Linked DNA regions of Cricetulus griseus. The protein of the gene in region 1 binds, or shares a complex with, the protein of each later gene. Links are inferred from orthologs where the notes say so. Each region holds a gene or a part of one and is shown on either strand. Other genes may lie near its edges.

Region 1 (3,986 bases):
GATTTGCAAACTGCTGGATCTCAGACTCAACACTCCCAGTATATTTTTTCTTTTTGAGACAGGGACTTCTTGCATCAGTGTTCTCAACCCATTGGTCCTGACCCTTTGAGACCATAGGAAAACATGAGTATTTACATTATGACTCCAAACAGCAAAATTACAGATAGGAATGTTAGGGTTGGGGGTCACCACAACGTGAGGAACTGTTTTTATAAAGGGTCACAGCATTAGGAAGGTTGAGAACCACTGCTCTACATAGCTGTCCTAGCACTCACTGTATAGACCAGGCTGTTCTTGACCACCTGCCTCGTCTGTGTCTGCCAGGTTCTGGGGTTATGGGCATATGATGCCACGCCTATCCCTGCACCCCTAATTCTCACAGGCCCCAGGACCTCAAAGGTATTGAAGGCAACAGACTGTCTGGGGAGACCAGGAGGCAGCTGCACAAGAAGGGCTCAGGCTCTTTAATAGCACCCCTCCCACTTTCAGAAGTGCCTGGGCTGTAAGGCAGAAACTACACAACACAGCAGATGGGAGCCAGAGGGCCCAAGAGCTGGTGCTGGGACTCAAGGGGCAGAGAATGGACACCAACCAAACAAGGGAAGGTTTCCAGGGGAGGCAGGGACAAAAGCAGGCTGGCGACTACAGTAGTCCTGCAGGCAAGGCTGGGCCTGGGTGGTACCCACCCTCACTGGCTGGACAGAGAGCAGGAAGACCACAGAGGGAGGGCTGTGACATGTTACCTTAACTGGCACCTGAGCCAGGGACTGGGGAATGCCACCAGAATTATGGGACCCCAGAATCAGGCCTCTGTTACTGGTCCAAGGGGCCTCACCTGGGAAGAACACAAACATCTGGTCTGTGGGATCATCGTTGTGGGCCACCAGCACTGTCAGGTCTGTGCGCCTGGGTCTTCCTTCACTGGGTTTGTCCCCAAACTGAGCCTTGAACTCCTCAAGTGTCTGGTCCAGCTCATCCTGGGTCACCAGGTAGCCACGGTCATGACACAGCTGCAGAGACAAAGAATCACCTGTCTTTAGAGAGGAAATGAACACTCAGCATGAACTCCGGGACTACAGTGCCAGACCTATCCCTGAACAGCCTGGGCTGCTCGGGGATAGCATGAGGAGGAGCACTTAAGTGACCCAGCAGTACTGGCCAAGCCACAGTCTGGTCCCCAACCAGGCCCCACCCCACCCCAGCCTCACTGGGCAGGCTAGGGTAGATCCCCTGGCAACTTCCACCTCTCAGTGCCCCCACCCACTCTTCCTGTTTGGTCTTAGGCGTGATGAGGGAAGAGTAGAGTGTAATCCAGCATCGGGTTGAGGGGCAGGCCTGAGAGACCAGGCCCTGGGGTCCACCCAACGCAAAAATTAAAACTATGCAGGCCTCTTTCTCAACTGGGGTCTGGTCTGTCTCTTCCCTCTTCGTCTCCTTCTTTTTGTCTTTTGTTGTTCAGAGACAGGGTTTCTCTGTGTAGCCCTGATGTCCTAGAACTCCCTCTGTAGAACAGGTTGGTCTTGAACTCACAGAGATCCGCCTGCCTCAGCCCTCTGAGTGCTGGGATTAAAGGTGTGGACCACCACTTCCCAGCCAACCTAAGTTTCTTGGGACAGGGTCTCACAATGAAGCCCTGAGTGACTTCAAACTTTCAAATAGGCCAGGCTGGTCTTGAACTCAAGAGACTGACTGGCCTCGGGCCCAAGAGTGATGGGATGAAAGGTATGTGCTACCAGATTAGTATTTTTACCTTTTCTTTATTTTGGTTTCTTAAGACAAGGCTTCTCTACAAAGCCCTGACTGTCCTGGAACTCGCTAATGTAGATCAGGCTAGCTTCGAACTTACAGAGATCACCTGCCTGTGCCTCCCCAGTGCTGTCGTTAAAGGCTTCTCTCTGTCACTACGCCGGGGCAAAACTGTTTTTTGTTTTTTTCAAATATTGTTTTTCACTCTGTGTGAAACAGTCGAGAAAAGTGCGTCAGACCCGCTCAAACCAGGGTTACAGATGGTTGTGAGCTGCCGTGTGGATGCTGGGGCCTGGGCTAAGTGGGTGGAGGGCTGCCCCGCAGGCAGAGAACCCAGAGTCTCTCCCTCCGGCCCCCCATAAACACGGTGTGAGCACGCAGAGAACCCCGAGTCTCTCCCTCCGGCTCCCATAAGCGCGGTGTGAGCGCGCAGAGAACCCCGAGTTTCTCCCTCCAGCCCCCCATAAGCGCGGTGTGAGCGCGCAGAGAACCCCGAGTCTCTCCCTCCGGCCCCCATAAGCGCGATGTGAGCGCGCAGAGAACCCCGAGTCTCTCCCTCCAGCCCCCCATAAGCGCGGTGTGAGCGCGCAGAGAACCCCGAGTTTCCCTCCTCCGGCCCCCATAAGCGCGGTGTGAGCACGCAGAGAACCCAGAGTCTCTCCCTCCGGCCCCCCATAAACACGGTGTGAGCACGCAGAGAACCCCGAGTCTCTCCCTCCGGCCCCCATAAACGCGGTGTGAGCGCGCAGAGAACCCAGAGTTTCCCTCCTCCGGTCCCCATAAGCGCGGTGTGAGCGCGCAGAGAACCCCGAGTCTCTCCCTCCGGCCCCCATAAGCGCGGTGTGAGCGCGCAGCAGCCCTCCCGAGGCAGGGTGCGGGCTGGAGGCCGGCCGGTCACTCGCCTGCATGATGGTCTTGCGGATCTTCCACAGCCGGTAGGTCTCCTCCTCGTCGTCCATGCTGCCGCCGTCGCCCGGGAACCGCTGCGCCTGCGCCGAAGCCGAAAAGAGCTCCTCCCACTCCTGCGCACGCAAAGCGTCTGCGCGGAACAACGGAAAGCCCTCCCCTTCCCGCTCAGCGAGCTCTGTTCTGTCTTCCGCCTGGAAACGCGACTTCCACCTTAGGCTGCGTAGCGGGCAGCCCCGGCGATCCGCTGCGCGAGACCACCATCGAGAAAATGTCGCGATACTTGGCCGTCACAGCTTAAGAGTTCTCGAGAGGGAACTGGGCGCGTAGGCCACGCCTTTAACGCCGCCCTGGGGAGCCAGAGGCAGGCGGATCTCTGAGAGTTCGAGACCAGCCGGGTGTGCAGAGCGACAGGACCGCCAGGGCTGTTATACAGAGGAACCCTGACTCAAAAAACAAAACAACAACAAAAAGAAATGTCTATGTATCTTTTTCCTCTTTGGGGGGTGGGGTGGTTCACTGTGAGCCCTGGCCGGCCTGAAATTTGATATATAAACCAGGTTGTCTCAGTCTAGAATTAAAGGCGTGTACCAGCATGGCCAGCACTGGAAAACCAGATGCTCGCCATACCTCCCATTCTGTCCCGCCCGAGCTTGTCCTCAGAGTCCGCAGGTCATCTCTAATTCCTGCCTGGGAACCTGTGCTGACCCTGACTTGGAAAGGCAAGTTTCCAGCAAACTAGCGAGGCCCCCACCAAGTCTGTCTGACCACTGAACCCACTGCATGGGCTGCAAAACTGGGCTGCGCCTGGGACACCCTGGTTATAGAAGCCACAAACGCAGAGTAAGGGGATAGAGACACAATACGTTTTTGGAAAAACATATCTAGATCTGGGAGCAATGGTGGGTGCATTTGGTCCCAGCACTCTGGTGGGCAAATCTCTCTCTCTGAGCTCCTGACCAGACCCTGGGGGTTTTTGTGGGGTTTGTTTTGGTTTTTGGTATGGGGAGGAGCCCTTGTCATTAACTTTCAGGTGACAACAACCCTCTCATTCTTTCGGTGGTTGGTTTTGTTTTGTTTTGAGACAGGGTTTCACTGTGTAGCTCTGGCTATCCCAGAACTTGTCTGTAGACCACACTGATCTCTAACTCACAGAGATCTGACCATCTGACTGCCTCTGTCTCCTGAGTACCGGGATTAAAGTCCTGAACCACTACTTTCAGACAACTCTCTCATTCTCGGTGGTAATGAATGGGCAGAGCCTGAGTACCTGGGACATTAGGAAAATAATTGGTGCCACTGAGGGGAGTCAGTCCAAAGTGTAAGGATACATG
Region 2 (4,084 bases), on another chromosome or scaffold:
GTCGAGTCTGCACACTCCCACTACTTCAGCTCAGTAACCCAGAACTGCCTCACACCGCTGGAGAAACCACGAAAAAAAGGGACATGGGTCAGTCATTCAATAAGCTCAGGGAATTTTACTGTAAGTAAAAACAGTTCCTACAATACTTTTGTGAGTAAGTATGCCTCTGAACATGTATAATTCAAAAAATTAGGACCAGAAAAATCACTCAGTGGGGAAAGATATTTGCTGTAGAGCCTGAAGATCTGAGTTCAAACCCTGAGAGCCACATGATGGAAGAAGAGAACCAACTCCTCAGATGTTGCCTGCTGATCCTGTGACCTCTACACGTGGCCAAATTGAGAAAGAGCCAGGCTTGGTGGTACAACACCTTTAATCCCAGCACTGTGTGTCTGTGGGGGGAGGGAGGCGGCAGATTAAGATGGATCTCTGTGAGTTAAAGGCCAGCCTGATTGATCCACACAGTGAGTTACAGGCCAGCCAAGACTACATAGCAAGACCCACCCTACCCCAACACCCAAAAAGAAAGAAAGAAAGGTAACAAAAGAAGATCTGGGTTGGGAGTGTGGCCTGATGGCACACTTGTGTTTCAGATGAGCAAACATGTTCAGGAAGAGGAAGTAGAAAGAGGAAAAGGGAAGGAGGAAGAGGAGGGAGGGAAAGGGAAAAGAAAACGATTTCTAGGGGGAAAAATCCTCCTAGTACAATGCCAGAAACAACATTTAATGTATAGCTGCTTTCTCCACTGCCTCAATAGATGGGAGGAAGAGTCATGCACAGCACTCAGGCACAGTATCAACACTCCATACGACACAGCCAGAAATCAGAAGTCAGAAACACTGATTTCCACTGGCAAGCTTCCTGTTTCCCCACCACCTAGATCCCTGCACTTACCTCTGCCTCCTCATGGTGCTCAATGAGGGCTTGAGGAGGAAGGTTGTATAAGTTGCAAAGTTTAGACTTTACCATGATGGGAACATAGCCAAGAAACTGTTTAATGACCCCTTTGGGGACTCCATTCACTGCCCAGCTGATGTCAGCCTACATGAAAACAAAAGAAAAAATAGACTATCTGGACCTGCAAGAATAAATGAATATATTTTTTTAAATGTTTAGATGTATTTATTTTTATTTTATGTACATGAATGTTTGGCCTTCCTGTATATCTATGTACCAGATGTGTGTCTGGGGCCAGTGGAGGCCAGAAGAGGGCATCAGATCTGCTGGAACTGGAGTTACTGGCAGTTGTGAGCCACCACATGGTGCTGGGAACCAAACCCCAGTCCTCTGAAAAAATAGTCAGTGCCTTTAACCATTGAGCCATCTCTCCATCCCCACAAGTGAGTATTCTAAGAAAAGAAAGAGGGCCATAGTGAATTGATTTTACATGTTAGGTTCAAAAGATACAATTCCTTAAGTTGCAACATTAAGAAAGCAGACCTTTCCTATAACCTTATAAGACATTAGCTTGAGTCTCAAAATGGTGCAGTACAGCCACCTCACATCATTAATGCTCACCGTCAGCCTCCCACGGTAGGTGCTCCTTCGGCCCCGGCACTCGGCTGGATAAACGTTGAGCTCTTTGCAGATGGTCCCTTTGGGCACTGAGGGTGGACTGATAACAGCATCCACAATAGTAAGAGATATTCGTTCATCTTTGAAAGCAAATTCAAAGGGAGGTATGGCCTGAAATACAATTCGTACTACTAAATCACTTGCATTTTTCAAGGCACTTTTCACTAAGACTCTTCGATGTCTATACTCACTGATGTCTATCACGTCAGTGGAACACATCTAAAAGGGACAACTAAAGCTACAACAAACTGGTAACTTCGCCAACTACTTAACTATACATAACCATTCACTAGGGGCCTTTGCATTTGATTGTGGGGCAGGCTCTACAGATACGGGAAAAGGCTGAGCCAAGTCTACCTTCTCCATACAGCAGGACAGAGAGAACTGCTGCTCTTGGGCAAGAACAGGGAAACCAGATGCTCTTAGCGCCATTCTTCATACTAAGCTTTTACATTTTATTCCCTCAGACTGAAGCCTGGCAATTCAAAGAATTCCAAATGACTCCCATACTTTTAAGTTTCAATCTGGCAGTCAAAGCTCTCCAATGCATCTCCATCCCCATCTCTCACAACGCAATTGTTCAGCAACAAAACCTCAGGGTAGTGTCCACTACATACATGGCTCTCCCTGTACCTAACCTCCCCCTGTAGGGAAGAACCATCCTCTTTCCTTGACCTTGTCTAAAGGTGGGCTTTCTAAACACCTGGATTAGTCGCACTTCCCTCCTGCCCCTGACTCAGTAAACGCTACATTTTAGGGCAGTTCTCAAGAGTACTGGCATTGACTGCCTGCTGGTGCTGCTACCTCTCTCTCTATACAATCAACAACCAAGAGGAGCACTCAAACCTGAGAGGCCTCTTAACTGGGGAACCGGCTACAAGTAGCAACGAAACGCTTTTCTCTCTGAGCTACCCAAAGCATTGCACGGTGAGTGCACGTCACTGTTTAAAGCCGTACAGCGGCCTCCCGGCCACCTCCTCAACCGCTGGGACCCTCCGGGCCCACTCGGGCCGCCGGTAGGGCTCCGGAGCCGAGGGCGCGCCGCTCACCTGCACCGCGTGGCTCAGCCCCTCCAGCACCGCATAGTTGAAGGAGTCCACGTGCGCCCGCGTCAAGTCTTGCAACGCCGCCTTTTGCTGCTCCGGAGGAATCGCATAGGACGGGTCGGTTAAGTGCTTTAAGCTCGGTCCACTAGGCAGGCTCCGCCACCGGCCGTCGAGATCCATGCTTCTGCCAAGCCGAGACCGGCGACGCCACTCGCAGCCGGGACCGGAGACCAGAACCACAACTCCGCTTGCAGCCGGCAGGAAATGGCCGGAGTCGCAGACCCCACGGCCTGCTGGGAAATGTAGTTCCTCTTGTTCCGGCCCCCCCCTCCCCCCCGCCACACACCCTGGGTCCCTCCATTTTGTAGGGCCGACTGGGAACCAAAACTGTTGCTTATTGGGCCGTTGAAAACTACACACAGAGACAGATTAGCCTCTTCTTCCAGATGTATCCTGCAAACCTTGCTAAAGCCCACTGCACTTTAGTGTGTAACTTCTGTGGCCTTTATTTGCTCAATCAGTCGATTAGAACCGATAGAACTATCTTCAAAGAGTCTCTTCTGTTGCTTTGGGCAGTTTTCTGATTACATCCTGATGCTAACCCTAAGAGACTCTGGCGTCTTGGCTTCAACCGAAATGCAGCTGTTGGATCCTAAACCTCTGTTCTCTCTACCCAACTCTTTATCATCTATCTATCTATCATCTATCTATCTATCTCATCTATCTATCAATCGATCGATCAATCCAGCCAATTATTGGTCTTTTGAGACAGAGGCTCTTATGCCATCGGTTTTCAACCTGTGGGTCACGATCCCTTTGACGAACCTTTATCTCCAAAAATATTTACATTTCAACTCACAGCAGTAGCAAAATTACAGTTATGAAGTAGCAACAAAAATAATTTTATGTCTGGGGGGTCACCACAACATGAGGAACTGTCTTAAAGGGTCGCAGCATTAGGAAGGTTTGAGAACCACTGTTGTCTGTAGTCCTGGTTGTCCTGGAACTCCATTTGTAGTCCAGGCTAGTCTAGCATAAACAGAGATCAACCTGCCTCCTCCAGACTGCTGGAATTGAAAGCCACCATACACAGCCCCGAGCTACTAATAAGTCAAGTTCATCACTGGGACGGCCAGCAGGAATCAGGCTATCCTACTCAACCCCCTACGCCAAAAGAAGCCACCCCAAACCACTTCTGGATAGAAATCCTACGGTATCAGTTTTTGTATGGGCATGTTTTCAATTCTCTTAAGTATCAGGGCTAAGAACAGAATTTCTGTGTCATTTACTCCATTCTTAACTTTGTGAAGTTCTGTGAAACTATTCAAGTGAGCTGTACAATTTAACACCCCTCTAGCAACATCCTTACTATTTTATGATTGTATCAATCTTATCACTTGTACAATTGCATCTATTTGTAGATTTTGATTAGCATTTCCTTAGAGGCTAATAGTGTCAAACAT

The links. Proteins that work in one complex are often made in the same cells at the same time.
Region 2: Polr2e (region 1) and Polr1b share a complex: the UniProt entries of both Homo sapiens proteins name them as parts of the pol I pre-initiation complex. The link is inferred for Cricetulus griseus from reciprocal best matches to the Homo sapiens genes POLR2E and POLR1B.

Annotation. Positions count from the first base shown.
Region 1 is NC_048598.1:100,836,425-100,840,410, forward strand, and holds the start of Polr2e (DNA-directed RNA polymerases I, II, and III subunit RPABC1), read right to left. Parts: upstream 2,808-3,986; 5' UTR 2,706-2,807; coding exon 2,649-2,705; intron 1,035-2,648; coding exon 836-1,034; intron 1-835. UniProt on the Homo sapiens protein: DNA-dependent RNA polymerase catalyzes the transcription of DNA into RNA using the four ribonucleoside triphosphates as substrates.
Region 2 is NC_048599.1:49,468,456-49,472,539, forward strand, and holds the start of Polr1b (DNA-directed RNA polymerase I subunit RPA2), read right to left. Parts: upstream 2,802-4,084; coding exon 2,625-2,801; intron 1,687-2,624; coding exon 1,519-1,686; intron 1,350-1,518; exon of another isoform or gene 1,325-1,349; coding exon of another isoform or gene 1,142-1,324; intron 1,042-1,141; coding exon 895-1,041; intron 1-894. UniProt on the Homo sapiens protein: Catalytic core component of RNA polymerase I (Pol I), a DNA-dependent RNA polymerase which synthesizes ribosomal RNA precursors using the four ribonucleoside triphosphates as substrates.